Astyanax mexicanus: one gene and its partners. The protein of the gene in region 2 binds, or shares a complex with, the protein of the main gene of each other region. Links are inferred from orthologs where the notes say so. Each region holds a gene or a part of one and is shown on either strand. Other genes may lie near its edges.

The links.
Region 1: timm50 (region 2) and timm17b share a complex: the UniProt entries of both Homo sapiens proteins name them as parts of the TIM23 complex. The link is inferred for Astyanax mexicanus from reciprocal best matches to the Homo sapiens genes TIMM50 and TIMM17B.
Region 3: timm50 (region 2) and timm21 share a complex: the UniProt entries of both Homo sapiens proteins name them as parts of the TIM23 complex. The link is inferred for Astyanax mexicanus from reciprocal best matches to the Homo sapiens genes TIMM50 and TIMM21.
Region 4: timm50 (region 2) and timm17a share a complex: the UniProt entries of both Homo sapiens proteins name them as parts of the TIM23 complex. The link is inferred for Astyanax mexicanus from reciprocal best matches to the Homo sapiens genes TIMM50 and TIMM17A.

The regions. Positions count from the first base shown.
Region 1 is NC_064419.1:20,725,466-20,733,086, reverse strand, and holds the start of timm17b (mitochondrial import inner membrane translocase subunit Tim17-B), read right to left. Parts: upstream 3,222-7,621; 5' UTR 3,171-3,221; coding exon 3,145-3,170; intron 753-3,144; coding exon 653-752; intron 570-652; coding exon 506-569; intron 1-505. Other genes in the region: pqbp1 (polyglutamine-binding protein 1), read left to right, coding at 6,878-6,944, 7,049-7,160, 7,552-7,621. UniProt on the Homo sapiens protein: Essential component of the TIM23 complex, a complex that mediates the translocation of transit peptide-containing proteins across the mitochondrial inner membrane.
Region 2 is NC_064425.1:17,464,309-17,472,576, reverse strand, and holds the start of timm50 (mitochondrial import inner membrane translocase subunit TIM50), read left to right. Parts: upstream 1-5,140; 5' UTR 5,141-5,182; coding exon 5,183-5,377; intron 5,378-6,506; coding exon 6,507-6,669; intron 6,670-7,782; coding exon 7,783-7,814; intron 7,815-8,268. Other genes in the region: tnfaip1 (BTB/POZ domain-containing adapter for CUL3-mediated RhoA degradation protein 2), read right to left, coding at 1,276-1,471, 1,742-1,794, 1,895-1,978, 2,109-2,278, 2,583-2,823. UniProt on the Homo sapiens protein: Essential component of the TIM23 complex, a complex that mediates the translocation of transit peptide-containing proteins across the mitochondrial inner membrane. Has some phosphatase activity in vitro; however such activity may not be relevant in vivo.
Region 3 is NC_064408.1:91,588,100-91,596,014, reverse strand, and holds timm21 (mitochondrial import inner membrane translocase subunit Tim21-like), read right to left. Parts: upstream 3,421-7,915; 5' UTR 3,094-3,420; coding exon 2,775-3,093; intron 2,673-2,774; coding exon 2,610-2,672; intron 1,867-2,609; coding exon 1,769-1,866; intron 1,671-1,768; coding exon 1,597-1,670; intron 1,478-1,596; coding exon 1,372-1,477; intron 1,253-1,371; coding exon 1,160-1,252; 3' UTR 565-1,159; downstream 1-564. UniProt on the Homo sapiens protein: Participates in the translocation of transit peptide-containing proteins across the mitochondrial inner membrane.
Region 4 is NC_064431.1:17,484,213-17,491,915, forward strand, and holds the start of timm17a (mitochondrial import inner membrane translocase subunit Tim17-A), read right to left. Parts: upstream 3,366-7,703; 5' UTR 3,214-3,365; coding exon 3,179-3,213; intron 1,556-3,178; coding exon 1,456-1,555; intron 942-1,455; coding exon 878-941; intron 554-877; coding exon 425-553; intron 1-424. UniProt on the Homo sapiens protein: Essential component of the TIM23 complex, a complex that mediates the translocation of transit peptide-containing proteins across the mitochondrial inner membrane.

The DNA of each region.
Region 1 (7,621 bases), on a different chromosome or scaffold from region 2:
TCTTCAATGTGTGAGTGTCTGACCACAGTAACTAAGAAACACAGCATATATATTTGCACATCTCTGACAGTATAGACTGGAGTGTGGACCATATATTTTTTTAATAGGATTTTATATTGTTTTTTATTATTTAGTATATTTTTATGTCAAATGAAGCTGTGATATTCAATGAAAACACCCCTTTAACCAGCCAAGAAAGTAGGAGGAGCTGCAGCATTTAGTTTCTGCCCTGATAAGTGTCGTTAGGAACCTGTTTTAGTCTCATATGCCAACAGAGAGTGAATGAATGAAGCAGCAAATATAATCATATCTGTAACACTGATACCTGACAGCACTTGTTTACTATTAGGAACCTGATCTTTTTTGGCTGAAGCACAAGCCCAGTAAAAATACTGATACTCTCAGGGAATCCAGGTCAGTCTGTGCTTGTCTCTCACTGTAACAGAAGGAGAACAAAGAGGCAGGAGAAGAATAGAGCAAGAATCAGGACAACAGAAAAACTTACCACCGATCTGCGGTGCTCTAATTCTCACAGCGTTCGCACTGCCTTTCAGCCGGTGTCGTACGCCCTGAGAGAGAGAGATTAATCAGAATCAAAAGAATTCACAATCAGCATGAAATCAGGTCATTATTTAGGCACTGAAACACCCACCACAGGCGCATTCCTGAAGCCTTTGATGGACTGAAACACCCCCCCACCGATGGCCCCCATCGTGAATGCACCTCCGCAGTCATCTACTATTCTCCAAGGACTGAGAGAGCAAATAAAGAGATAAAAAGACACATAACGAAAAAAAGATCATGAGGTATCACGAAACAGAGAAAGACAGGTAGATAAGACAGACAAACAGAGGAAGACAGATAGACAGATAGAGTGGGTATTATTATAGTGGGTCACCACCTTAGAGACCATACCTGACTGTTGTCTATAAATATTAGGGGTGGGAATCGATTACTATCTCACGATTCGATTCGATTCCGATTTTGGGGGCCACGATTCGATTCAAAATCGATTTTTGATTCAAAACGATTTGAATTATAAAAATTTCTGCTTCTGGCTTATGAATCTTATTGAAAAAAAAACCCCTCCATAATATACACTGGTCCTGGAGCAAGTAATGTGTTACAAAAACAATAAAATGTGCAGGAATGTGGGTCCTCAGTGACAGAGGAATCACTGGGATATCACAATGACGTTAATGAACAATAAATAAATAATAAATAACACTGCTTTATTACCAGGCTACTAGCGGTGGTGTGTAGGTGACGCTGCTGGGCTGATGTGATGATAGCAGTGGAGCGCTAAAGTTCAGGAGCAGCTGCTGATTAACTAGTTAATTTAAGGTCGTTGTATTTCTTCAGAAAGGGGGCAGGAGGTGGAGAAATTAATTCATATTGTCCATTCCTTAATTCCTCTGTGATGAGGAGCTGAAATTAGCTCTGATTAGCTTATTGTTATTTTTCCGTTCCGCCTTAAATGCTGCAGCCCGCAGCCACCTGTAGCGTTATTTAAGGTGGAACTGGAAAGTTAGCTTGTTAGCTAGCTAACAGTTACTGAAACTAACTACTAGCGATCTTTTTTATGCTTGTTATGAAGCATTCTGCCATAAAACATTAAAACTACACGTTAATCTAAAGTAATATAGTGCTTGTTCTGCCATCTTACCGGTGATTCTCAAACACCTACTACGCTCTGTGTGGGTCTGGAAGACCTCGGTTTGAAGGGACAAGCGGGTTGCCAGGTCCAACAAAAATACCCAGCCCAAAATCAGTCCAAAACCCGCCCCTCAGAATCGATTTTGGGACATTTTAAATCGATTCTGAATCGTAGTAAATGAGAATCAAGATTCTTATGTGAATCGATTTTTTGGCACACCTCTAATAAATATTAATAATTACTGTTGTTCTTTTTCTGTTAATTTTCTGACAAACATTGACAGAAACAGTTACAGTTAGGCAAGAAAAAAACGACTTTAAATGTTGAATCTTGGAAAGACAAAAAGAAAACAGAAAGAGAGAGAAAAAAGAGAGCCAGACAGAATGGGCAGAGCAGAGTGAGAAAAACAGATTATAGAGTAAGTGGTGGGTATAATCGTGAGAATGAGAGAGGGTATTACATAGAAATAGAGACAGAGTGGGTATTTTGAGAAAAAGAGAGAGAGAGAGAGAGAGAGAGAGAGAGACTGCAAAAGGGAGAAAGAGGGAGACACAGAAAAAGAGAGACTGAAAGAGAGAGAAAAAGAGGGATGCAGAGAGAGAGAGACTGAAAGAGAGGTAGGCTGAAAGAGAAAGGGAGAGAGACTGAAAGAAAGAGAGATAGACTAAAAGAAAGAGACAAAGACACTGAAAGAGAGAGAAAGGGAAGAAGACAATGAGACTAAAAGAGACTGAAAGAAGGATACAGACAGAGAGACTGAAAGGGAGAGAAAGAGAGAGACAGAGAGATTAAATTATGTATAATAAAAGAAACAGGGAAGCGGGTGGTATAGACAAACAGAGAAAGTAAAGGTCAGAAAGCGAGAAGTAAACAGATGCAGAGAAATAGTAAAACTGTAAAAACCGTGAGAAAAAAAGATGAGAAAAAAACTAATAAAATAAAGAGTGGTAAAGTAAGACGAGTAAGCATACATGGTGTCAGAAAACTGGGAAAATTATGGAGGACAAAGAGAAAACACCGGGAGAACTAAGACAAATTAAGAAATAACAAAACAGACAATATAATCTAAAATTCCCTGTATTTTTACTTTACTTTACTTTTACTTATTAAGGAATTTAAATGTGCGTTACTGTGGTAATTAAACGCTGTTACTGGCTAAGAGGTCCTCCTGCATGTGTAGTATCTGTGAGTATTTGTATATTCGTGTGTGTGTGTATAGCTCCACTGATGTAAGACTCGCAGCCCGACCCTGAGGAGGAGGAGGAGGAGGTGTTTATGCTGTTAGCCAGCCCCGCTAACCGAGCGCTGTACTGCACTCACACACACACACAAACACACACATACACTCACTGCAGGAACTACAGGAAACAGAGCCGACACACAGTCACACACAGGCGGGGGAAATGCTCCTCTGAGCGGAGTCAGAGCGGCTCTGTTTACCGGTGGTTTAGTTAAAGAGAGAAGCTGTCTCAGAAGTTGTACTTTACCAGGGTTCACGGGCATACTCCTCCATGATCAGCCGCTGACCTCGGCGCCGTGACGCAGCCGCCCGCCGGGGTTTCAGCGCCACCTGATGGACAGGATTAGCAATGATTTTCCACCCCAGAGAGAAGAGAGTCTGCATTTCTAGTACAAAAAATATAAGGCACACATGCCAACTTTGTACATTAAATGTATATAAACTAAATTAAAAAATATTTAAAATGTCAGTATTTGTACCTACACCAGGTATTTCTCATTTTTTAATTAAGAAAATAAACACACAATACAAAGTTATTGTACAGTTACACTTAGTATACATTATGTCAATGCACAAATGTTTTCTGTAGAGAAATAAATACACTGACCATTGGTGGCCAAATGAGTGCTAGAGAAAGACAACGTAAAATAATTAGAATGGGTATGGAGAGAGAAACAGAGACAGATAGACAAAGTGGGTATCATGAGATAGAGGGAGTAAGGAGCTGATCACTCACTGAGGGAAAACCAGTGTGGACAAAAACACAAAATTATTATAACTAATTTACCGAAATCACTGATTTATTCCTTATTATTACGTATTTATAGTCTTTTCACCCTTATTTTCCTTTTCTTGTCAATTATAATTAATAATAATAATGCTTACGCCTGTAAATAGCTCCAGTTGTTGTAATTGTATACATGTATGTAATTATTATTATTATTATTATTATTATTTTGCTTTTATGTGTTTTCTGTCATATGCTTTGGCAATAGTGTTTCTTTTTACATTTATGCTAATAAATCACTATTAAACTGAACTGGACTAAGTGGGAGGGAGAGAGAGAGAGAAAGAGAGAGATAGACAGACATACAGAGTGGGTATCATGAGAAAGATAGAAAGATACTTTTAACTGCACTTTATTAGTACAATGGCTAAAACACTTACAAATCCAAATGTTATATATATTCACAAATTCTCAGGTAAATCTCACAAAAAAGTAACAACTCCTCATTAGTAACACATAAAACGCTATTCAACATCCACTCTCACAATCAATTAAATGCCTGGAGGTTGTGTTTTCTGTAGAGAATAAAAACACCAACCTGTGGTGCCCAAATTGCCACAAAGTATAAGATGACGTAAAACAGGTTCGTTTATTCAAGTCATTTTGCAGCATTTGCATTGGTCCAAGTACCAGGTACAAAATTACGTCAAGAAAGAGAAATGGTTAAAATAATTCTGAATCTTCATTCTTGTCGTTTTTTTTATTATTTAAAATAAAGTACTTTTATTACATTTTGCTTGCGGTTGGAGGATCGCTACAAGTAATCCCGTGCTGTGATTGGCTGTCTCAACAGAAACGCCAAGGACTGTTAATTTCATTGGACCATATCAAACTCCTTGTTTGACTGGAGCGGACACTCGATAAGCTGTATAATTTTATTATAATTAATTTAACGTAATTTATTTATTTCATTTATTCTATATGCTTGTCCATAGCTCTCTATAACAAGCAAAAACACTTAAATCCCACTGGGACCACAAGGGGGAGGAGCGTGACGTCATTTTTCTGCGCCGACTGAAGCTGGTAGCTGCTGTGAATGAAAAGTTAGCAGCGCGCGGCTGTTATTAAGGTAAATAAACCAGCGGTTCTCTCAATTTATCAATGTGGATTATTTACAGATGCTGCAGACTGTATTGCCTGCTGTGACACTGGTTTGCATGGATATCTAGCTGAAATACAGCAGATAATGGTTTAAATAGGAGTCTGAGTACGCTGGGGTAACGTGCTATGCTATTTAGCTAAGCTAGCGTTAAGTCTGAGGGCTGAATGAAAGTGCTGGGTAACTAGTTTTGCTGTAACTCGTGTTTTGTTTTTACTCTGCAAACAGCACCTTAATGATCATCAATAATACAACCAAATGTTACAGCTGTCCTAAGAAGTAGAAATAAATTAAGAGTGCCACAGACCACAACACTGGTTTAGTTGCTAAGAGTCAGGACCAAACATAGTGCTGGACGATATGGCAAAAAAAATATTACGATATAATTCTTAATTTCGGTCAATACGATATTTTTTTATTTACTTAATTTTTTTAACCAGGAGGTCCCTTGAGATAAAAATCTATTTTTCAAGGGAGATCTGGCCAGGACGGCACACCATTTCCAATTACAGATAGGGCTGCAAATAATGAATATTTTGGTAGTTGACTAATCTGATGATTATTTTTTCGACTAGTCGATTACTCAATGATTATTTCTGCCAGATCCCCCATCTCTAAAACGATAGAACATGAGAATTATAAAGCAATTTAAATGCCTAGAAGTTGTTTAAACGTGTAAACTACTGATATGTAGTGATTAAATATGTAACCTGTTGTGTTTGAGCACTTTTGGAGACACATACTAAATTGAGTGTAAACTGTATGAGTGAGCCATTTACCATCTCCCATTGTGTTTCTGTCACCACTTTGTGTAATGCGGTACTGTTACAAATTAACGATTAGTCAAAAATGAAATTTGTAGTCGACACATTTAAATAATCGACACTGTCGAAGCACTAGTTACAGAACATTACAACATTTATTTACATTTAGAATAAACACAAAACCAACATGAAAGCACAAAACAGGCATGTCAGAGTAGCCATTGCATGTTTCCATCACAGACATTTTTTTACTTATCACAGAATTCATCACAGAAAGGATTTAAGCTCACTCAAGAAAACCAACTCTGTGATTTGTTTTTAATGTTATTCCAAGACCATGGTGCAAAATAAACGAAAACTTTTTTTGCCCAGTTCTAAATTAATACCAATATCTTTATGAACAGTGTAAAAGCCAGCCTTGGTGTATGTAATCACATACTAATAGATCTGTATAACATGGCAAAATATTATATCACAGTATTTAAAGATAATCATTTGATTAACTGTATGCATTGTGTTTTAACTGTTCAAATACTTTTTTATGTAGAATACTGTGATTTCTATAAATTCTAAAATGAAATAGAATTTTTTTACACTCTGTCAATAAATGTACATTTGGGTCAGTGCTTTTTAAGCAATGATGATATAGTTGATTGAAGGAAGGAAATTAATCCTTATCAGTATGAAAAAATATCAATATATTTTTCAGCTCTAATCAAACAAAATAAATGTAAGTTAAAAATATTTATGCTTAGTCCAATTCTGCTACTAAAGCAGCATCTAAACACTACAACATGCTGGACAGTGGTACACCAGAACCAGGGTTGAGAACTACTGCTTTAAGACACATCTTTATTTTTTAGAGAGTGGTGCTGTATCGTCTATTCTGATTTTAGGGTTTGGTCTGTAGTTTAAATTGACTAGATCTGGGTGGATGTGTTCACCCCATTTGTAAATGCAGTTGTTGGCATGTAAGTCAACTAATGTTTTTTTTTTTATCTGGTTGCTTTATGTTCTTGTCTAAAATACAAAGTTATTGTTTTTTGATTGGTGTAATGAGCAGGCATAAGAAAGCCAAGCTTTCATTACTTGTAAAAAGCTATAAAACATATTGCAAACAGGTTGTGCCCACACATCCGCACCCATCAGCAATTGTTTTTTTATGTTTTCACATCTTCAGGATATACAGTCATATGTATAATAACGAGCATCTTTGTGCGATTTCCTCATCTCTCTAGAGTGTCTTACTAAAATCTAGATAAATTTACCAACAATTAACAATTTCATGTTATTAATATGCAAAATATCTCTCCATTTTTCTTCTCCCCAGATGCCTCTGCCACCAGCTCTTCTGGCTCGTCTGGCCAAGAGAGGAATCCTAAAGCAGTCAGAACATGGTAAGATGTCAGCTTACAGTACATAGTCAGCTGTACTTCTTAATGTAGTCAATATACAATGTATGTTTTGCTTATGACTGATTGGATATGTTGTTGTTCTTAAGACAATGAAGAGGAAATCATTGCTGAAGACTATGACGACAACAATGTAGACTATGAAGCTACAAGGGTTGAAAATTTACCCACCAACTGGTACAAAGTACTGGACCCTACCTGGTAAGTGCTTCCTGTATTGCACTATGTTTTAATCTCGTTGCAATGCTAGAACCCTTGTGTACTACATTACATAAAAAATAACACAAAAAACATTCATTCAAATTATCTGGATTGCATCTTCTTAGTTCCATATATTGACTTCATATATGTGTTTTATGTGACACCTCATTTAAATCTTTTGCCAGAGTTTTAAATGGGCTAGATTGGACAATAACAACAGATTATGTAATGAAACTTGCTGTGATTGGATTAGTGTGTTATTCATGTATACACCATAATGAGCCTGATGATATAACAGAAATATGGAAGAATAAAATAAAATTATTTTCCCCCCTATATCATTGCTTTATAAATATTTAATGACACAAACGTCCCTTGTGTTTGTTTTCAGTGGTCTCCCATACTACTGGAACGTAGAGACAGACTTGGTGTCCTGGTTGTCTCCCAATGACCCTGCTGCG
Region 2 (8,268 bases):
ATATGTTAATAGTTATAGTAATTTGTACTTTAAGGAGCATCTTTCTCTCAGATAAAGTTAATAATATATATTTGTTAAAGAAAAAAACTTGTCATTCTCAGGGACTGAAAAAGTCTTAAAGTCTTATTTTTCATGTTTAACTGTTATAGTAGGATAGAGTTCAGTTTGTTAAGGCTCTAACTGTTCTATTTTTTACATGACTGTTCCTGTATTTTTTTATTATTTATTTTAATAATGCACACTGCTGCTACCAAAAAAAGCCACTAGATGGCATTATAAATATATCTTAATTAAATTATTAAACATTTGACTCATTGAATCATTAGTGCCTCTAGTGTTGTGCTACAGATCACTTTTATCACTTTGCATCACTTATATCAATCCCGCCTTTTGAAATAAGATATTGTAAATTTGATGAATCAAACCAATGAATGACCATAGACTAATCTAAAACTGGCATAGGCCTCTCTGCTGTAAAAAAAATAAAAAATAAAATCGAAAATCAAATCAAATCGTGACCCTAAAATAAAAATAAAATCGAATCGAGGATTTAAAGAATCGTGACACCCATATCATTTACCTATGCATAAGGGTCCTATTCTATTTGCAATACCTTTCATAGAGACTAGACAAGCTGTGTGTGCGCATTCACAAATCTGTTTCAGCTATAGTAACAACTCAAGCTGCTAGCAGATTTGTTTGTTTTGTTGTCCACAAAAACATGTGGGCATATAATGCTAATCTGCTAACGAAAATAAGATAAAGAGTAATATTTTTCTATAATACTATAATACTAAAACTATAATAATTCGTCTAATTTGGAGGGCTTTGAGTGTTCTTTATAAAAATGAATGCATTTATAAATTCGTATATTCTCTGCATGAAAATCTGAATAAAGATGAAGAGAGTGATGCAATGTTTACAGATTGACTCATAGCTGAATTCGCACATCATTAAAATATTCAAAACGCAGTACTGGCTATTTATTCCCGATAAGGAGGACTTCACTAGTGTGCGACAGCTGTTTTTATGGACAGACGTTCAGTAGTCATTTGTGTTTACAGAGCTGTGAATAGGACGAATCAAACAGCTGGCAGGTTGTACACACAGCTTAAACAGCACAGCTGAACAGAAACAGATTTTTTTATTCAGAAATCATTAATTGGAAACCTATGAGTTTCTTAAGAATGATTCATAAATTCATGGCTAAAAAGAACAAAAAACAAACCAAACAACGACTAGATCCATAATTCCACTGAGAAATACGGTTCTTACTTTGGTCTGCTTCTTCTCAGTAGCATAGACAATAGATGTGCAGCAAACTTCAGATAACTTGCGGCCCTGTCCGTAGAAAGACCAGCAACAGATCTCGTCCCCAATTACATCCTTCATGAACAGTACTCGTCCGTTGTAGCTCAGGGACAGCTTCTCAAAAAGCTCAATGTTCTTAAGCAAGTTATCATCAGAGTTGCTGGCGAATGAATAATAATAAAAAAACAGGTTCAGCGAGGGACAATTAAGAGACATAGTTAAAAATGAGTTAAGAACTCAGATCTCTAGGATTGGCCAAATATTTGAAAGAAAATAAAAATATATATATATTAATTGTTCTAAATGTTAAAAAGATTTTTTTAAAATCTCTATATATCTTAAATACACTGTAATTTGTTTTTTTACATTTTTTCATTTGCATTGAGATACATACATCAAACTGCTTAAAATCTTCTAATTACTCATTTACCTGGTATAGGAATATTTGTTGTTGCTTCGATTGTAGAGCAGCTTCACTACTGGCTGTAAAAAAAATAATAATAATAACATAATTCATATTAAAACCGCAATGAATCAAGGTTTTGTTTGTTAGCCAAATAATATTATTAAAACACAACCTTACCCTTGTACAGCCCTGTATTAATCTCTCTTCTTCCTTTGAGGAGGTAATGACAGGGATAACACACAAAGCCTGTTGCTTATTATCCTGTGATTAAAAAAAAACAATCAAGGACAAGCACACCATTACTGATTACAGAGAGAACAGCTTTATTTATTTTTTTCAGTTTTTGTAACCTGTTTTTAAAACTACTCTGACCCAGTTAAGCTTCACTGACCTGAACGGCTTGCTGACACAAATCTATCAAACCCTGGATATGATAGTACTTGGCCTCTGCCAAAAGCTCCATGATCCCCTGCCTGCTCTTGGGCAAGGTCAGACTTCCATCCCTCAAGTAGCCGAGTATTGACCCGAAGTGCTTCCCACAGCGGTCGATCAAAATCCAACCTGAGGAGAACAAAATCCTTTCAGCCCACGAACAAAAAAAAAAACTGCATTCAAACAAAAAAAATGCATTAGTGCATTGTGATACACTGAGTTGTCAGAGATGACTGCATCCATACTGAAAGATTAGAATCACCCAGAATTTATTGTGATATGTCAATAAAGAAAGCAAATTTTTGAGGAACCAAAACTAAGTTTTTGCAAAATGTTTTTAGTTGTGTGGTCAACGCCTGCAATTAATATGGAAACTTTAACATGTAATGTATTGGGTTATTGCAGTGCTAGTCGTCAGTGGCCCAGTGTTTACCTTCTTTGTCCGTGAAAACCTCGGTCTTGCCACTGAACATGGACTTCAGCAGGCCGTCCTGTCGCGTCAGCACCTGCACAGTTGAGTAGTGCAGAACTCCTCCCACATTGAGTCGCACATATTTGTTTCCCACAGTGCCCTCCTGGCAACACGTCTTGGTCTTGGGGCAGGTCACTGCAGAGACTAACACGGTGGGCGGAACCTGCGGAGGACGCTGGTGCAGGCAGCTCTCTCCCGACATATCCCTCTGGAGGTAGATGACCACCCTGCACACAGTGGGCTTGATGTCCCCCGCCGTGGTGAATGCTGGTGGGGAAGCTGTCAGGACAAGCTCTCGCCACACCTTCACATATCTTTAAAAGAAAAAAAGAAAGAAAGAACAATTTAAATGTCTCATCACATAGCGCAGTAAAGTTTCAGTGTCAGTCATTTGCACAACATATGATATTTGTGCATTGAAATGCTTGTGGTGAAGCTCAAGTTTTTAATTACAGCACGGTTTCACGAAGATATAGAATTAAATATACTAAATAAATAAGAATATATAGGAATAGACTTCATTCGTTTCATTAAAGATTTCATTCAACTTCATTAGAATTCATTAATCGCTATTTTTTTAACAAATAATTCACGCAAATATGGACCCAGACTTTTACTAGTAATATTTATAATGAATTATAGCATTACAATTGTAAGAGAATGTGAAATACCAAATAAATCAATGGCAACATGGGACAAGTCAAAATTACATTAAGGTTTACATTGACTTTGAAAAAAATAAGGGTTCTCTACCAAGATACCACTTCATAATTATGAGATGCTTAGTTAATCATTTTTAAGAAATGCTAAGTCATAATTATAACTATACAATTCTGAGATGTTAATTCATAATTATGAGATACTATGTCATAATGATGACATATTGCGTCGTAATTCTGAGATATTACGCGATATATAGCTATGATATTTTATAAATATCTTATTATGACTTAGTGGAGGACCCTTATATATTTTTCTAAATTACGAAAATTGGCTTCTATACACTGCGGATATAATTCTAAAATAGCTTCTCCAGAGATCTAAATTGTGTTTACATAGCCGGTTAGTTAGCTCGTTAGTTTAACTAAGCTAGCGTTAACATGTTCCACTGGTTCCAACTTTGGATACCGAGCAGCTAGCCTAGCGTTAGCTAACAGGCTAAAACGAGCTTAACTCAGTCAGTAACGTTAGGTATAGCTAACCTAACCTACCGTACAGCTGTTCAGAAACGCCGCGCTCTTTATCCAGCTTCTTTGTCCTCTGGAGGTGATCGATTAGCCGATATATGAGGATGATAATGTACCTGAATCAGGTATTCAGGTAATTTAACACAGAAAACAGAGACTTTTACTGTGAGGTTAGCTTTCTAGCTAATGCTAACTTCTTCTTCTCTCTGGGTTATAGCGGTTTGCAGATCAACTACAGGTGCGTTACCACCACCTACTGGTCTAGAGGCAGTATCGTCGTAAAAAAAAAAGCCTTATAATAATAATAATAATAATAATAATAATAATAATAATAATAATAATAATAATTAAAATTGCCTTATGTAATAACTCTTACATTTCAAAGATATTCGTTTCAGAGTTTAGTAATTTAATTAATTTGTGCTCATTGATTTTACATTGATTTAGCATTGATTCAACGTTCTGGTTTTATATGCATGGTATAAAATTGTATCGCATTAAATGTATATATCCTGTATTCTATTCTTATAGCCTATACTATGGTCTCGCAGTGTAAAGAGTGGAATTTAATATTATTATAAATGTTTCATAAAAGCTTTGTATATAAGTGTATAAAAGCCCCAAACCATGCAAAGCCTTTAAATTCAATGTCAGAACTTCAACATTAACCGATGCCTATTAGGCAATGTTTAATAAAGGTTGTTTAAAGGCTTAATTTTTTTTAAGTGTATTCAATGTACTTATTATTTTGAGAAATTACATATAAAGCCAGAACTTTACCTTTAGCTCAGCTTAACATCGGTCTAATTCTCAGTTTCATCACTGAAAGAAAAATTATTGTTAGTTCTTACAGGTCAAGTGCGGTAATAAAGTTATTGCTAAGATGAGAAAATAAAAAGCACTTTTGACCGGTAAGTTATATAAATATTATTTGCTGTCTCTTCCACAGTGAATTTATTTGGTAATATTGTATAAGCTGTGCGTTTGAACTTGTTCAATTGACTTTTATTTTGAAATATATCTCACCAGTAGCGCATTGAGCTACTGTTTTTAGTTAGCATTTTTTCTAAATGAATTAAAATAATTTATTTTCTACCTGAACGTGTTAATCTACTTTTATATGAGACTTTTCAGATGTAACTCACACTGGGGGGATTTTTCTGTTATGTATCAAGGCCACTTTACTGCACTTTTATCTGCTCTCGAAGGTCAACGCCGTCTGTCAGCGGATACGTCGAAAAACACGAATGACCGCCTTTCAGGCACCACAAGAACCGCGGTTGGTTTTCTCGCTTGTCAATCAAACTATATTTAGCCAATCAGAGGCGTTTGTCCTTTCCACTTACGCCGGGCTACAAGCCGCTAGCATTCAAGATGTCGGCGGTGTCTGTGTTCCCCATGTGTGTCCAGGCGAGCCGGGGCCTCCTCAGGCTCAGGAGCGGAGCCGGGGCCACCGCGGCGCTGGAGGCGGTCAGGACGCTCTCCACTCAGAAGGGGGACAGCGGTGCCACAGGCGGACTGGCCCAGGCCATTCTCCAGGAGAGACTTCAGCAGCAGCAGAGGAGTCAGGTGGGTAGAGGTTAGCTGGAGCTGCTAATGTGCTTTGACGTTTCTTTTGGCAGGTCTGGCTTTCATTATTAAGTCCTCTGTGGTATTAAACAGTTTAAAGGCGCTGCAGAGCTATGAAACATGTCACTTATAATATAGAAATTCTTCAATTTTACAGGAATCAGTTTGAATGGGCTGCTGGTGAGCTCTATAGACATATTGCCAAGGATGTAGCCAGCATTGACTTTCGGTTATCTTACTAACTAACTGTGTATTAATTTGACCTTTATTGAAAGCACTTTTAGGGAGGGATTTTGTCTTTTTTGCGTGTGTTTTGTCGTTTGTAATTTTACCAATGTGCTGGTTTATCAGGTTGTCAGTATTGTCTCTTATCAGTGTGTAGGCATGTGGCCATCTTAAAGAATGCTAGTTAGAGTTAGTTGCATAGTTACTTAGTTAGTTAATTAACTATATTTCAGAATACTAGTCTCTTCTATAAAAACGACCACTTGTAGTAGATTAGATATGTGCCGTTGACTTAAAACCAGCTGATCAGACCTGTCACAATAATTACATTAACAACTTATCGTACAGTAAATGGATATAACCTATAAGTAAGTAATATTTGATAATCTTGATGTCATCTGTTGTGTTCATTTTAGTGGTGTCATTATGCATAGGAGTGTCACAATAATCAAGTAGATTTATTGTATATTGTTGACCTTATAATATAGTGCATTCTTTTTTACTTATTAAGAAGAGCTGGTATGTGGACTTTGCTTACAAACCATGATTTGTTTTTATTTATTTACTTTGGATGAAATTTTTGTCATTTATTTTATATTTTCAATAGTTTAAACTTCTGCTTTTTCAAAATAATTAATGCATTCATTTCCTGTGCTACTGAATTATTATAATACCAGTGGCATTAAAAAATAATTTTATCAATTAAGTCTGTACAAATTGATTATCATTATTATCATGACAGATTTACTTATGCATTGTCTTGTTGAACAAACTAATGGTTCTTAGTTAAATTGTGATTAGTGTAAGGATTCCCTATATAAGAGGGAGTCAGGTAACTGTAAAAATTAAAAAAAAAAAATAGAGTGATGCTTCATGTTCTAATGTTTTGATTATTCCCTCTCAGGGCCAGCCTCCTCCTGAGGGGGAGGAGAGTTCTGAGCAGAGGGGAGATGAGCAAGGCGAGGACAGGAAGCAGAAAGAAAACACAGCATATGCTAAGAAGGTGGTCCTTCGCTTAGCAGGACTTATGGGTCTTGGCGGCGCAGTCGGTGTTGTGTACATATTCGGTGAGTTAATCCTCTGGGACTGTTCTGGGATGAGGACTCCAGCATTTTACTCTAATAGGCTTTAAAGGATTTTCACAGAAGGATTTTGGATTATTTGAAGTGTTGTCTTTGGGCTTGTGGACAAGGTGTGTAAATATATGGAGTTTTAAAAAAAAAAATCAAATGTTTATTTCATTGCTATAGTGTGTTCTAGTATTTAAAACACATTTTACTATTATAGTTTTATAATTAGTTATATTGGTTGAATAGATGCTTAAAAATATTCTTGTTGCTTTGTTTCAACTTTAATTCATGCACTATGCAGTGCTACTTCACAGGGTGAATCTGTCATCAGCAGAAAGTGGTGGCACAGTCAGATTTATTTGTTCGTTTTTTTTTGTACAGAATTGTTTTGCCAATTTTTGGAATATAGTTTTTGCAAAATAGCCTTAAATATGGTGATATTTTTTGGCCATGTGGGCCATCAGGGTATAACTCTTTTTTGCTTTTGCTGTTTGTAACAAAAAGGAAAAATTGCACTGTGCTCATTTCACATTTAAAAAAAATGTTGCAGTAGTGTATTCTTGAAATTATATATTTTTTATTCAATGTTCTCATATTGCCAATAATATTGTTGTAACAAAAAAACCCTGAAATGTTGTGCTGATCTTTTTCTTTCTATGTTTAAATCAATCAAACTGACATTTGTGACATTGTTCTTAAATATAGCATAGTGTTTATTTTTGTTCTTGTTGTGCTTTATGATAATTGAAACACAAAAATTAGATGTTTGGGACATCTTAACATTGATTTTTTTTTATCATCAAGGTTATTGGCTGTTTAGTCTTGTTTAATTTTGTTGGAGACGTATATATTAGAGCATTTATGTGAGTTTTTGATTGCATTTAGTGCTTGCGGAGTGTTAGTGAAGTCACAATGTTGGTACTAGGTTATAATTCTGTTCTCCCTCGCTGGCCATTAGGGCATGGTGTCATCAGGCCCTGTTTTATTCACAAGTGTTTGGCAGGTTTTACATGACTAAGTAAAATGTGAAATATAAAATTGAAAAAGTGTCAATAACTAAGCCATAAAGTATTTTCAGAAAGTCTTAATATGTTTTCCTTACTTCTACAGGTAGCAATTCTGTGGATGAACAAGGAAATAAGGTACGTACACTCTACATAAAACATAGTCAGGATTCACGTCCTTGTTCCAACATTACAGATTTTTGACAGGCATTGAGGTGTGAAGGCAGTTAGAAGTCCTCTACAGTCCTGTGTGGCAGGTAGTGCTGTCAGGCTTTGGAGGCACACTTCCTCACCTATTCTTGTCTCCCCAGGCGCCTCTCTGATACCCCCCCTTGGTGTAACTGCAGACTGTTAAAATTTACAGGTGATGTGAGCAGACGGCACACTCCTCAGGTCTTTGTAAATGATGCTGCATGTCTAAGAGCACACTTCTCACGCTTCAAAAGGACACACTTCACAAGAAAGTGCAGTCTCGCGAGTAGACGACTGGAGTGTGCCGGGGCTGTAGGTGTGTGATCTCGTACCCCCCCCCACTCCCCCCCCCCCTCCCGCCACTATACGGTAGCACTCTGTTACGCTAATTGGAGGGCTC
Region 3 (7,915 bases), on a different chromosome or scaffold from region 2:
AAACCACAGCCTCCGCTGGTCAAGAGTATGTTAACAAGCTAGTCTGTCTGCATAGGGTGTGTTTGTTCTGGATGACCAGCTGGTCTTTGCTGATTTTCTTAGTTTATAGGTTACTCTCTTCATCAATTTTCTTTTTTTTTTTAGTTTCAGATATACAACATCTAAACATCCAGACTAGTGAACAGTAATGTATCATTATTAGTATTATTATTGCTTTTAATTAGCATTTTCATCTGTACGCAAGCTAATCAATGTCATTCAACATCAGTCAAGAAAAAAAAAAATCAAAATTTTGCTTTCATCTTTAATCTGCTCTCAATACAGACAGTAACACATTAAGTGCATTCAAAATTCCTTTTCAAACAAACACCATGATTCCAACATTATGACACTCGGCTAAGTGAAAGTTGAAACCAGGCCAATTCAAATAAGATCATCCCCAACATATCATCTGATCTTTAATGTATAATTATTATTTATTTTTTTGTTTACAAAAAGTTAGAAAATAATTGTTTCTTGGCATTTTTAAAGCACCCTGCTTCACAAAAGCTTTATTTCTTGGCAATCAAAATTCAAATATGGCCATTATTTCTTATTATTGTAATAAAACAATATTACTGAATGGCAAATCAATGCTCACATCCATGAAGTAAAACAGATCTTAATATGTATTATTTGAAGCTGGCCAAGGACCAGTGCAAATAAGGCAGTTTGCAAGCATGTGAGTGAGTTCATTTTCTTTGCTTATCTGGAAGCAGTTACTTTAATATAGTGAATGAAATTACCCAGAATGACATATGAATGAAATGTGGCAGTAGTAAATGGGCCCATTTAATGGCAGTCAAACTGACCACTGACCTGAGAGTAAGCAATGTGGATGCCCGGTGTAAATGCATAGAATTTGAGTTAATTAAAAATCTTTAAAAATGATTCAGGTCCTACAGTGTACATAGATATAATTGTATTCACAAAAATGACCAGGATATGACATCTGAAGGCAAGAAAACCTGAACTCCCCCTAATGCTTATTTGAAATACTGCCATTTTGAAATCATTACCCTACACATAAACCTAGCTTTATACAAACAAGTTCACCGTAAGAGTTCCACTGGGAGCTTGAAGAGGTTTCTATCTGTTCAGGATTCACTGAAAAACCATCTCATCTGTTATCTTCAATCACGATTGTCCTCCTGGGATAGGCGTCTATATCCACAAATATGTAGCGGAATTCATATCTCCCCGTCTCAGGATTCTGTGGAATGACAAACATCCAGAAACATCTTTATATTAGAAATCTCATCTGATTAAACTGATAAATTCCAGCAATGAAACACATTAGTGTACACTGTAAACAAGAATTTTGAATTTCACCTGCTTTGCCTCTGAATGTACAGTTCCGTGCAGTCCTGGCTCTGAACCCTCAATGTAAAATTTCAGCCTCATGTGCTGCTGGCCATCCTTCACGTATTCAATATGGCTATGAGAACATTAAGGGAGTTAAGTCAAATATATAAAAAATTAAACTGTATGGTTTATAACTCAACTCTCTTAAATATTAATTATTTTGTCTACTATTATTTTGCTATTGCATCATACCTAACTTGTTGTCTCCTACCCCGGCGAGTGGTCTCACCATAGCCTTTGATGGGCTCACCAAAAGCTCCAATTACCTAAAGTAAGAAGAAAATTTTATGTATTCATGAAATAAATAAGTTAATAAAAAATAGTGTAGTTTTATAATGACATTCTCCAAATTAGCAAATTAGACCTCTGGGTGTGATCTGCATTTTTCAAAAGCTTTCCCATAGAGTTTGCTTGGACTGGATGATGAAAACAGTTCTTGAAAGATGACATAAAGAAGTCCACCTGCAAAAAACAGGTGAATAATTTTAGAATCATAAATCCTGAAATAACCAGCGATAAAACCTATGTATTACAATCTTTTGTGCCCCTTTCTATCGTTGCCAGGTTTTTTTTTATTTATTTATTTACGTATTCTTTTGACTGTGACCTAGTAGGTTGATGATGGAAAACCAACCTTAAAACAACCTTTATTTAACATTTAATAGGCATTGGTTAAGGCTGAAAGGCTCTGAATGGCTTAAAAAAAGAAGGTTTTGGAGTGGCCTAGTCAAAGTCTGACTGAGATGCTGCAACGTGATCTTAAACAGGCCGTTCATGCTAAAAAAAAGCTCAGATGGGGCTGAATTAAAACAATTCCGCAAAGAAAAGTGGACGAAAATTTCTCCACAGAGATGAAAAAGACTTATTGCCAGTTATCAGTAAAGTTTAATTGCAGTTGTTGCCACCAAGGGAAGCACTGCAAATATTTTTTCACACAGGGCAAGATTGTTTTATTTATTAAAAGAAAAAAAATAATTTAAAAAGTGCTTTTAATATTAAGATCGGTTTGATAATTATAAAAAAATATCAGAAAGGTATCAGAGGGGCAAATACTTTATATTCCACTGCGTGTGTGTATATATATATATATATATATATATATATATATATATATATATATATATGCAAATAAATAAATAAGAGAAAGCCTGTCTACTGGAAATAAGCATCCATAAAATAAAGAATAATTTAGAGCTTTATCTTACCTGTAACTCCAAGACCAATGAGCACCACTATCAGATAGGTAAAATCTTTGCCAGCTTGTTTGACTGTAGGAGGGAGACAACCCCAGAGCACAGCACATTTAAAGTCACACTAAAGTTTCTGCATAAAATCGCTGTAATGAGCTGTAACACACCCCCTGAACCCACCTTTCTGTGCAGCTGAGACTCCAGAGGAGGCCTGGCTCTTGTGGACTGATACCTGATCTCGACCCCTGCCCTGTCCCTCAGGGTCACTCGCATTTCTGCACTGACCTCCAGCGTGGAAACCTCGAGTCTGAACACCAACACAGCGAGGCAGGCATGTCCACCGAGTTAAGGGCAAGTTATTGAACTTTACCTGGATTAAAACAGGGTTATTCACCTGCAGAGGTGACACCTGTAGAGATGGGGGGATGTTTACACGCTTCAGTAAGTGCTGTACACAGTGTGAAGTCCTGCCACTTCTCAACAGGAGTGAATAAACCATTATAACCGAGGTTAAGAACCAGTAAGGTAACTGAGTTAACCTGCTGCTGTGGTTCACTGTATTTAACTGATAGCTAGCTAGAAAAGATAGCCTGGCTAAACACTGCACAGGTCTGGGAGATACATAGCACTAGCCAGCTTGTTATTTAATCGGTAAGGCTACACTTTAAGCTGCAGTGAAATAAGCAGCTTCTCTTTCAAAGACTGAAAATGGTCAAACTGACCGTGACCCCAGAAAACTCAACAACACAACAATCTCACTCCTCACTCATGACTGGAACAGCCTGCCATAGCCTCACTGGCGCCAGCTAGCTAATCCCCCCTTCAAAATAAAAGTCCTCTCCGATAATAACAGCGTGATTAGCAAAATAAACCTGTTTATAAATCTACACTTATGAGTAAATGTGGACTTTATTACAAACATCGTCACTTTTATAAATACAGGCCATATTTCTCCTTATTAAAACACTTTATCTTTAAATGTTGGGGTACTTTTATTTTTTTTATAATGAACTTTGTCTTGACGTCTGGCGAGTTCACAGCATTTCTTGTAGCTGAGGATCATGGGAGTTGTAGTGTTTTGACTTCCATAATAAACTCTGTTCAAACGTCGCTAAAACTACAAAAGAAACTAAACATCATTGTCTGGAAATATTTGTTCTTTCTGTGAACTAAATATTAACAATCTTTCTTAAGAATGTTATTTGCTATCTCTCCAAAATAGACAAATATATGGAAAATGTAGTTATGTTGTATTAAATATTTAATTAATTTTAGTTAATTTTTTAATGCATAAATGCAAGTTAAACGAAATAAATGTACTCTTTGCTTATGGCTGAGATTAGGTTTTAAGATTAAAAACACAGGGTTTCTGAAATCCTATGGAATATATGTGTTATTTAATAAAATTTTTGTTTTCCCTATCCATTCTATGTTTTTGGAGTTTATGAGTTTTATTTGTATTCTCCTGAATCTCCTCATATTTCACATGGTGCAGTCATGTGTGCTGAGTGTATTGTCTTTCAACGTATTTAATAATAAAAACCAAAAACAGAAAAATGCTAAATCCAAACAAATGCATAAGAGAAAATGACTAACAAATAACTAACCATAACATTCTTGGTTCTTGGTCTCAAATAAGCAATTTACGTAAAATAAAAACAAATATAATTCTGTTTTCACTTTTGCTGTATTAAAAAAAAAGAAAACATTCAAAAATACTAATAATCAGTGTTGAAACAAGAATTTTGACAGAATTATTCATGTCTTTTATTAAAAAACATTTTGTCTATGATTCACCTAATGCTGACCCAAGTAGACCTTCTGGCAAATGAGCAGGTTTTGAACATACAGACATTTCATGTTTTATATGGAAAAAAAAAGATGTGTGATCTACTTTCATACCATTGATCAATACCTTGCAGCTTATATATGATTGTAGTAACATTTCTTTCTATTCAAATATGCATAGACAAGACCTGCTGACCAGTTTCTAAAGATTTTGGTCAAATCTGAATCTAATAATTAATTTTTAGTGAATGTGCACTTAGCGGGCAGAGGTTAGGAAATTGAAAAACAGATCACAGAAAATCAGGTCAAATAACTGATATCTGTTTATCAGGTGATAATAATAACAGTAGACCGCAGATGATTTGTGTCAATTCTGTAGCTAGTTAGCCCATATTATAAACTCCAGGGCTGAGGTGAATTTCTTTTGGACACAAATGAATGAGGTTTAAGGTTTTTTAAGGTTTCCCCCCTAAATGTCTCTGGATCCTCATTTGCTACATCTAATGGGTCAAAACAAATGACTGATTAATGCTACATCTATGCTTACAGCTAAGCTAACGTTCCTGCACACTGACATGGCACAGTGCTTATGTCAACAACTACTTTTTGAGCTTACTACAGTAAAATATACATTTTTATTCAAACTCTATCGCTACCAGAGACATTTAACTCTCTTTATTTGATAAAGCTGGCTGGTTTGTTTGGAGTATTTTGGTGAAACAAGTCTTTTCAGTGTGTTGCAGTGTTAGGCTTAGTCTGTAACTAGCAAAACGTGTATAATTCAGAGGATACAGGGGCATTTAATAAAAAATACACATAGAAAAAATTCTGTAGGGTTTAAAATGTGTGTGTTTACCACAAAAGTCACAATTTTCCAAAACCTAGGAAATTAATTATGTGAGAGAGGAATCTACATAGAGTTTATAATGTGGGCACTGACTACAAAATGACAACACGACTCCAGTGGCCTGTGCAGCTCAAGTCTACTTTAGGAAAAGGAACAAATTTGCATTGACATTCAGTAAAGTTTAGATTCACATTTTAGCTTTAGATTCTTTTCTTAAAGGTCACAAAAGAGAAAAAATAATTACATTTGTTTCATATCCCACACAATGGATAAAAATTAAAACAATGGAAAATGAATAAAAAACAAACCAACATCCCCATCCTATTCCCAGTACAGTATCCCCACCCCCAAACATCCCAATCCGCCCCTGGATTTCAGTTTGCAGTCAGGAGATGTAGACTTATGTCTGTCTACTCTCTAGGCACCACAATGCTGTTCAGTGGCTGAGCAGGTTAAAGTCAATGTAGGAACACAAGTTAGTGTCGTCCACCAAAAGCCAAGAGGCCCTAGGCAATCAGATGAGAAGCAGACGCTGCCCCACTTAATATTCGCTGAATCTGACAGTCCTGTCTGTAGGAGGATGTTACGAGTTAGTCCCTTAAGCTGTCAAACATGGAAAGACGCAGGGCAGTGATGCATCTGCCTGTTGAAAAAGTAAAAAAACACTATTAGGGCAACCCTGAAGACAAGCATGTCCTTCTTTACGCTCTGCAGTGCACATTTTTGAACAAGAAAAATAGAAAACATGGTTCCAGATATCTGGCTATAGGCTACATATATTTAAAGGGATAGGTCTAATGCCAATGTTGTTGATAACAATGAAATGATGAAAGTGAAAAGTCATCATTAAGAATTTGCAAATGACATCATACAAACTGGTAACAATTAGCTTCCATTCCCTATTTAGCTGAGCTATTTAGTGCTCTAAAGGTTAAGATCCAAATAAATAGTACAAATTCTGGTTTTAGGAATATACAGCAGTACAGACATTTAAACAATGATAATAGTTTGCAAATATATAGTTTTTAGGACAAGAGCCCTCACTTTGATAAACCAATCGAGTCTAAGGCATGCCACTCTGACTCTAAAATTTACTCCGCATTGCCATGAGCACCCTGGCCAAATTTCATCCTCACTGATAACACAACACCTCACATATTATTACTAAATTGTGGGTGGTCCCAAGCTGTTCCCGGAGGTAACACTTTATCAAATTATGTACTGCTGTTCCATGACATTTGGAATTCACATAATTTTGGTGTTTATATATTTTTAGCTTATATGTAAAATATGAAAAATCAGAACACACACAAATAAAACTCATGTTCATGTTTTTGATAAAATGCTGGAACTAACAAGTTAAAATAAGAAAACAAAAATGGTTCTATAAGTAGGTGTGTCCAAGCATTTGACTGGTACCATACATCACTAGCAACAATATATATGTGTGTGTGTGTGTATATGTGTACAGGAATTCTAATGCATCACTGAATCACAGAATGGTATTAGCATTACCTGTTAGTAGCAGAGGCAGTGTGCATATGATCTGTCCTTGGAATTGGAAAAGACAATCATCACAGTATCATCAGTCCAATTTATACAAATTTGTTTGCTATTTAATTATTTTATTTCACAACATGCCAATGACATCATATTAATCCCAGTTCAGGGACACCAACTAACGCTTTAGGATTTAGGCTCAGCCGGCATAAGAAAACATGAAAGGGGCTCTTGTCAAAGTTTATTATTTTCTTAATGCATACATAAACTGTGTTAAAGGTGGTCCAGCTTTCAAACAGCTACAAAAATTTGTGTACAAATATTATGTGCCACCAAAATGTAGCAAAAGTTTATGAGTGTGTTTTGCACCTGCACTTTAAATAGATTATACAGCAAAATTAATTAATTTAATTAAAACATTTTTAAAATGAACTTAGCCACACATATTTTATCTTTTTTAAATATTTAAGCATGCATATGTTAGTGCAGTAATTTGCCTTCTAAGGGGGGTTTAGTTTAGTTCACAATGCCTTGGATTTAACTTAGTATGATCAATTGTTAAACGAAATGACAAATAGACATAAGACATGCAAAAAGACAAAAATGTTTCTCTTGGCCTGAGGTAAATATATGTAGACTATAGATATGGCTGTAAATAATCTGTGTCAACACTGTTTATCCGGTGTAAAAACAACAAAAAGAACAACAACAAAAAAACATATTTTTATGGAAGAATAACAAATGCATGCAACAGGAAAGTTCTGTTTACACTTATTCTTATAATGGAAGTAAAATAACAGTTAATACAGTGTGTTTGTCCAATGTCAACCAACGGCCTGAATAATTAAAAAAAGGGCAAATGGATTAAATAATGCTCGTCCAAAATTCAAGTTTTAGATATTTCAAGCAATTTCAATCTAAAAGTCTCTTTTTTTTCTCTGCTACTGTGTCCATTTACATCTGCAGTGTGTTCTGTAGGCCCTATGCCTGTGACTACAGTGTCCGTGCCATCATGCTGCTGTAAATCTCCGGTCCATGTTTTCATATTTCTCTGAAGCTCGTTCGTACTGATCCAGGACTGCACTATTTTCAAGAAGTCTACATGATGGAGACAATGCAACATAATGTAGTGTGAGCAAAGACACACAGACAGAGCACATTTTACACTGTGACTACAACAGACATG
Region 4 (7,703 bases), on a different chromosome or scaffold from region 2:
AAACTGCTTGTTTTAATAGTGCACACTGTTGCTACCCACAAAAGTCACTAGATGGCATTACCATATATATCTTAATAAATAATAATAATAATATTTATAATATTTATAATAATAATAATAATAAATATATTATTTAAATTTTATGAGGCATAAAATAATAACAAGAAAAAAAAACAAGAAAATCGAGAATCGAATCGAATCGTGACCCTCAAATCGAAAATGAAATCGAATCGAGGATTTAGAGAATCGTGACACCCCTAATCGTTACATGTTTAGCAAACACTACCACATAAAGAGAGTATGAGTCTCGCAGCATTTGGCGTTCATGGGATTTAGGTAGGCTACTCCAAGCTCCCCAACACAATGAATTAAGGAATGAAAAATAATGTAAGAATCTGAAACACAGGCCCAAATTTTCACTCACTTCTGGCAGCGAGGATAGCTCCAGTCATGGCTCCACTTGTTATCGAGTTCCAGGGATCCTCTTTCCCCCGAACTTTCACCAGCCCACAGTCGATCATCGAGAAGAGTCCGCCCCAGACGGCAAAACTTCCTGTAGTACGCAGAAAACATTTAGGTTTGAATTTTAAGACCATAATCGCTAATAAACTTACAATCCTAAAATGTTTTATTGAAAGAAAAAAGAAACATGGCCAAAGATTAACAAGAAACAGGTGTTCAAAAAAGCAACATTAGAGTTGCCCAACACTGTTAGGCTCACTGGATCAATGATTGGATTTGGTTGAATAAACATTTATCAGATTGGTTATTTAAAAAAATAAACAATTGCCACATTAATCATCAAAACATTCAGTATATTTTTTTGATTACCAACCTAATCAAACAATCAATCAGTGCACTATGAACCCATTCTCACCTCCTAGCTGTGGAGCTCTGGTTCTGATGGCAGTCATGCTGCCCTTCAGTCTGTGATTTATTCCCTAAAACAGAGAGACAGATAAAAGTGTAAGCAGTCCATCATCTCCTATTCAACTAACAGAGCTCAGCATCAGACACTTTGACCTTGTCCAAAGGACACTGGGAGCTCAGGATAAGTTCCAAGGTGAACCTTATGAAGAACCCAACATGTGACTCAAACACCCACCTTAACCAAAAAATACACTCCAGAATTTCCTTAATAAAGAAGTACCTACCAATGGCTTTGTTTGTTTAAAATTTATATTAACATATGTCCCCACCTTACATTCCAAAAAGCATAAATGAAAATGTTTAATTTACATTTTAAATACTTAAAAACCATTTGAATCTTAAGTATATCACTTTTGTTTTGGTTTTGCATAAAGGAGGAGCTACACAGGCCATCCAGCCTTAGATGGTGCTAGAAAATGATGCAAGTGGTTGCTAACCTTTATAACCATTCACTCATAACCAAAGGAGCAAAACCATTGCACATTACTATAATGTGATTTAATCATACAAAACCAGAGGACTTACAGCAGGTGAGTTTCTGAAACCTTTAACAGCCTGGAAGATTCCTCCACCTATAGCTCCCATTGTGAATGCACCGCCACAGTCATCTACTATCCTCCAGGGACTAAATAAGAAAAAAAACACAGAAAATACAGACACAACTATCAGATAACTAACAGCATACTGTATGTAGATCATGTTGGTAAATGTTAACAGAAAAAAAAAGATAAAAAGAAAAAAATAACAATACTACACTGCATTACTAAATCAAACTAAATCCAATGAGTTTTTTTGTCATATTACATTCACACAGGTAGTAGCATTAGTACAGGTAAACAGTTACACAGGTTTTTTTTACATTGGTTTAGGAAAGATATTGACAACCAATGTTCGGTTTGTAAGGTCTTTGTAATGTTGTAAAAACTGTAACTGGCTAGCTAATTTGTTTTGGGATTGTCCTTTAACTTAGTCTTTTAGACATAATCCTTTTCTTTTTTTTATTTGTCAAAACGTTTCAATGATCCCTACATTTTATACATTTTTATACTTCTTTCTTTTGCAAAATTTTAAGCAGCCCCCAAAAGTGTAAAATATGAAAATCACTACTACAGTCCTAGATTGCACATAAGCATATTGTATATATGACCCTGTTGTACACCACATTGTAGTGTGATACGCCTTCTAACATTGAATTAAAAATAAAATAAATAGCTAAATACATAAAGAGTAAAGTATTGTATGGAATGGAATGGTATAACTAGGTAACTAGCTAATAACCTAAAGTTGGTTTGTTATCTGAGGGCAATATTACGCCATAATTAGAGGGGTTGCTTCATTGTTTAAAGTCTTTAATTATGAAAACATCTAGTTTAATTTTTACACTTTAACCCCTAGTATGTTTGTTTCTGTACATGTTTTGAAATATATATGGGTTCAATTTTGTACTGTTTACTAATTACTGGAGAAAAAGCTACTAAACTACTTTTGTGGGAAACTAAAGCTAGCCGTTAGCTAACCTAACCAAACAAATTACAAAACTCAGTGCAGCGGTTACTATGGAAACTAACCAGGTTAACTAGGTTAGTAGTATGGGTGTAGATATGCCTTCTAACATTAAATTGAAAATAAAATAAATAGCTGTTACATAAAAATAAGATATGTTATGGAATGGAATGGAATGTAGTTAGTTAACTAATAACCAAAAGTTGGTTGGTTGTCTGAGGGAAAAATCATGCCATAATTAGAGAGGCAACGTTGCTTCATTGTTTAACCTATTAACATGCATTGAACTGCATACGGGCTACAGTAACATTCCTTATCAAACATGAAAGCTTTTTATGTAATGCTTGAATAGAAATCCTCAAGATTTAGGGGTGTAATGTCAGGCAGAATATTGACAAAAATCCTGGCCTGTTAAGGGGTTAAAGTATTTAATTATGAAAACAAATTTAATTATTACATTTTAACCCCTAGTATGTTTGTTTTTGTTCATGTTTTAAAATATCTATGGGTTAAATTATGCACGGTTTACTAATTAGAGGAGAAAAGGCTAGTTAGGTTACTAAACAAACTAGGTTACTTCTGTGGGGAAACTAACGCTAGCGGTTAGCTAACCATACCAAACAAATTACACAATTTAGCGCAGCGGTTACTATGGTAACCAGGTTAACTAGGTTAGTAAGCTAGCGTTAACTAACTATAGTTAATTTAGCGAAGCTAGATAACGTAACTAGTTAAAATAAATCACCTCTGAGGTATAAACCTCATTAATCTGTGGAGCATGTCAGATCACTCAGAGTTTAAGTTAATATTTCAGCTCTGTCTGGATTATTTTAGTTAAATCGGTGATATAAAATTAGCTCAGTCTCGTGGTTATGTAGTTAGTTTGTAGCTGTGTTATGAGTGTGCCCGCGAGTCCCCCGCTCCGCCGCTCTCAGAGCAAGGTCACCCCGCCTGTCAGCTCGAGCTCTCCGGCCGCGTGCTTTAGACCTTCCCGCTGGACCCGGTCTAACCCAAACCCTGACAGCACGCGCTCCCCTCAGACTCCCCGTTACAGCGCGCTAATCTCCACTAAAAACACTAAACCGCGCTGATCTGAACATTAATAAATTATAAAAATAAGTAAAATTCGGCCAGGCCGGCTTACCACGGTTCTCTCGCGTACTCCTCCATCTTGTTCTGTTACTGCTCCGAATGACGTCACCGGACAAAAGACAGTTCAAGGTTGACGTCAGATCAGCAGGTTCCGGTTACGACAACGGGCCACCTGGCGGCGTGAGGGGGAACTGCAGCCAGTGAGCCCCCCTTCTGTTTAATATGATATTATATAAGATAAGGTGTTTAAGATAATATATAATATTATCTAAATATAAATGTGTAAAAAAAAATATCTACAGGAGCATTTCACCCAGTTCACCTGTTACTGATTAGTTTTACAGTAGGTTAAGTACCTACAACTGGTTGCACACACACACAGGTCAGTGTAAACTTTATCTGTTGAACTTTCTTACTGTGAGAACTAAATTGTAAAATATAAAACAGGGTGTAAAACTTAAATAGTTTTTTAATATCTGCCCCTCACAATCAGAGTTTCAGAAAAACTGAATCTTTAGTAGGTTATTTAATTTTCCATTCTTGCATTTTGTAACATTAATTGGTTTGATTATACATACCTTTTTCCCGTAAATTTCCCGTATTATGATAAAATTAAAAAAACTTTATTATTGAGGAGACGGCACTGACCGCTCTGTGTCTCTTAACCAATCGTGGTGCCGGTTCAAGGAGAAAGTCCCGCCTTTCAGGAGAAACAACCAATCAGCTTGCTGGTTTTGCGTAGCGCAAAGTAGGGTCAGTGTGGGGAAGACGCCCCGCCCCCCGCTGTGAGTTCAGGCAGCTAGTCGGAGCAGCTGATGTTAAAACATATATGGATATACGGAGATTTTTGTAAAAGAAAGGTAACGGTAGGCTAGTCATATAAACTGTGATGAGATTTTTCTGATAGCTGCTTGAAAATACTCGTCTCTGAATAAAAACACAAATTAAACCTTTTAAAAATTCAAAAATTACGGCTTGTGACTTAACTAGAAATGTGGAGAGGACCGAAATGAACTGAACTGACCAGGGGTGGAGTGATCAAAAGAAAGAAGTATTAATTAAAAAGTATTAATTGTGTAGACCCCATTAGGACTCATTTTTACTGATGGAATATATCTGGTCCATGTCCTTTTAGTAAAAGCTCATAATACTATTTTTAGGTCACCAACAGTCATTTTGCAGAATTTGTGCACCCTTTGTTCAATTTTAAATCCATTAAATAAATAGAAAATATATCATATAAAAGAGTGCATTTATGCCAAAAAAGGCATGGAATCTTTTTTTTATATATCTAGAAAAGGGTTTTTAATTTGGCTGTATTAAAAGAATGACATATGTAGGAATGTCCACAACATTTCAGTGTCAACAAAGGTAGGCCTATCAGATTCTGATAATCTAACTGTAGTCTGTAAGTGGTTGACATGTGGTTATTTTATATTTCTTGTAAACCTGTCTTAAAATGTAAGGGATACTGAACCTTCGTTGGGCTGGTGGGACAGCTTTAAGCGGACGGAGGAAAATATCCCTTATTTTTAAATCTAAAACTAAATGGATCATACCATCCATTTTTGGACTGAATTTTTTTTCTGGTTTTCTTATTTTGAAAGGTAGAAATGAAAAAGTAGAACAATAAAAAAATAATGTTTTTTTGAAAAAAAGAAATAATGACGTTTTACACAATTTTCTATTTCCTTATTAAGCTTAGTAAACGTTACCCAACACTGTTTTTATGTTTTTGTGTTTGTTTGCTTCTGCATGTATAGCAGCACAACAAAACCACTGCAGCAAGCTCATGCACCACTATGTTCGACATCTTATTTTTGTCGGTAATGTCAGTCAAACGCATTTTGGCGTGTGGCGCCAGCAATCTGGTTGTGTCGTGTATCATGCCCAGTGTAGTGTACTCTATATTGGTTCAAATTCTATAAAAAAAAACAGTAAAAAAAAAAAACAGTAAAAATTCATTAAAGAAAAAAATAACATGCCCGGATAGCTGCAAAACTCTGCAAGCAGATTTATCTCAGGCAGATATACAAACGATTACGGTGTGGTCAGATTAGACACATCTTGCTAGAAGAGGATGTAAAAGTGTCCCCCCCCCCGCTGCCTTATATAAAAAAGGTTTTCAGAGGCTACATTTGGGTAGTCTATCTCTTTCGGTGAGAGATTATTTATTGATGTGTCTCTAGAGCACATTCAAACACATTTTGCCCAGTTGACAGACTTTAAGAGGGGCGTATTCCTAGACTGAGAGAAGCAAAATGGTCATTTTGACAAATTCTCACCATCAAGGCCTTACATGAGCCAGCCATCATCACCTTTTTGTGTTTGCGGTGATTTTGTAAACAAGAAACCTGGACTGTTATGCAACAGAACCATATTGACTAGGTTTAAAATGACCTCATACGACAGTCAGTCGGTTACCCCTAGTAGTGATACAAAGACAGCTCAGCAATATGTGCAGGACACATGTCATGTTGTTCCTCATGGCAGGGCATTTTTCAGCAGGATAATGTCTACCCACACACAGCAAGGGTACTTCAGGAAGGCCACAACCAGATTGCAACACTTCCTTGACCTGCATGCCAGCTTTCGCAGCCTATAAGTGTACAGGCTCTCCAGGCCCAGCTACAATATGACTTTATTGTATTTTTGCTCTGAGACATGCTCAGAAATCTCTCTCTGTCCTGTTAACTAGTGTATTAGTGAAAGACTAGTCATGTACCTCCATTACTCTCTCTTTCTCTGTGGTCGCTGTTTGTAGTTGGACAGAATGTTGGCTATCTTCCAGTTATTAGGAAGGAGAAAGGAATGAGGTGAGGACTGCGTCTCCATTCAGAATGACCAAATATGGGCATTTCATGGGTGCAGAGGGCAAGACAGGGCAGAGGAAGTATAAACGAGCCTGCCGCTGCACACAACACCCCTCAATACAGTCCAGCAGAACTCCAGCAGGACTCCAAGTTCGGAGAAACATCTTAAGATGTGATGTTGTTCTTGACACAGCTCTTGCTGTTTCTCGGTACGGTATGAGGTATGACATCACTGCATGACATCCAACCTTGCTTGAGGGCCTATCAGTGTTGAAACTGGGTATCGAACTCTGCCTACAATAACCTGGTTCTTGAGTGGCTAAGACACCACTGTCCCAGTGTATACGCTCACAAATACGTGGACAGTTGCTCGTTTAGCAGGTGTGATGATGTAAATGCTATTATGAATAGTGATGTTTGGAATTTGCCTTTACTGTAAAGACATGCAGTGAGGATATAATGTCTCTATAACAAGCAACTATAAAACATATTATTATTATATCCTTCAGAATGTGGTATTTAAGCAATCACATTGTATTTTTTTAGTTTTAAAACTAAAAGTGACAATATATTGAAATTGCAGTATCTGGCTTACAAGCTTTGCCCAGTTAAATTTACAGTATTTTACCTTTTTGCGTCTCTGGAAAATCATACAATTATTTTAATATACAAAAAAAAAATGTTTATGATAAACATCTGTGTAAATGGAATACATAAACTATTTGTTTTTATCAATTATCAATAATTAATTTTAACAAAACTACAATATAATCAGAAATATTCTATACAGATAGAAAGCAGCACAGTTTTCATTACCGTAATTGTGTTATATCACTGTCAAATACATTGCCAGAATATATAGCTAAACTGCCAAAATATGTAGCTCTGAAAAAATCTGAATCAGTTTCTCTGATTTCGTTATTTATAGGTATTTGTTTCAGAAACAATAAAGATGCAGAGCTTTAAGACCTCAAATAATGCAAAGAAAACAAGTTCATATTCATAAAGTTTTAAGAGTTCAGAAATCAATATTTGGTGGAATAAGCCTGTTTTTATCACAGTTTTCATTCATCTTGTCATGTTCTCCTCCACCAGTCTTACATACTGCTTTTGGATAACTTTATGCCACTCCTGGTGCAAAAATTCAAGCAGTTAATCTTGGTTTGATGGCTTCTGATCATCCATCTTCCTCTTGATTATATTCAAGGTTTTTGATTTGGTAAAATCAAAGAAACTCCAAATTTTTAAGTAATCTCTAGATTTTTTTTCCAGAGCTGTATATGCAAAAAATAAAAATAAATAGGAAACCAGAAAATACCTGTAAACACTGATTTTTTTTTCTGCCAACCCTAAACACAAAACATT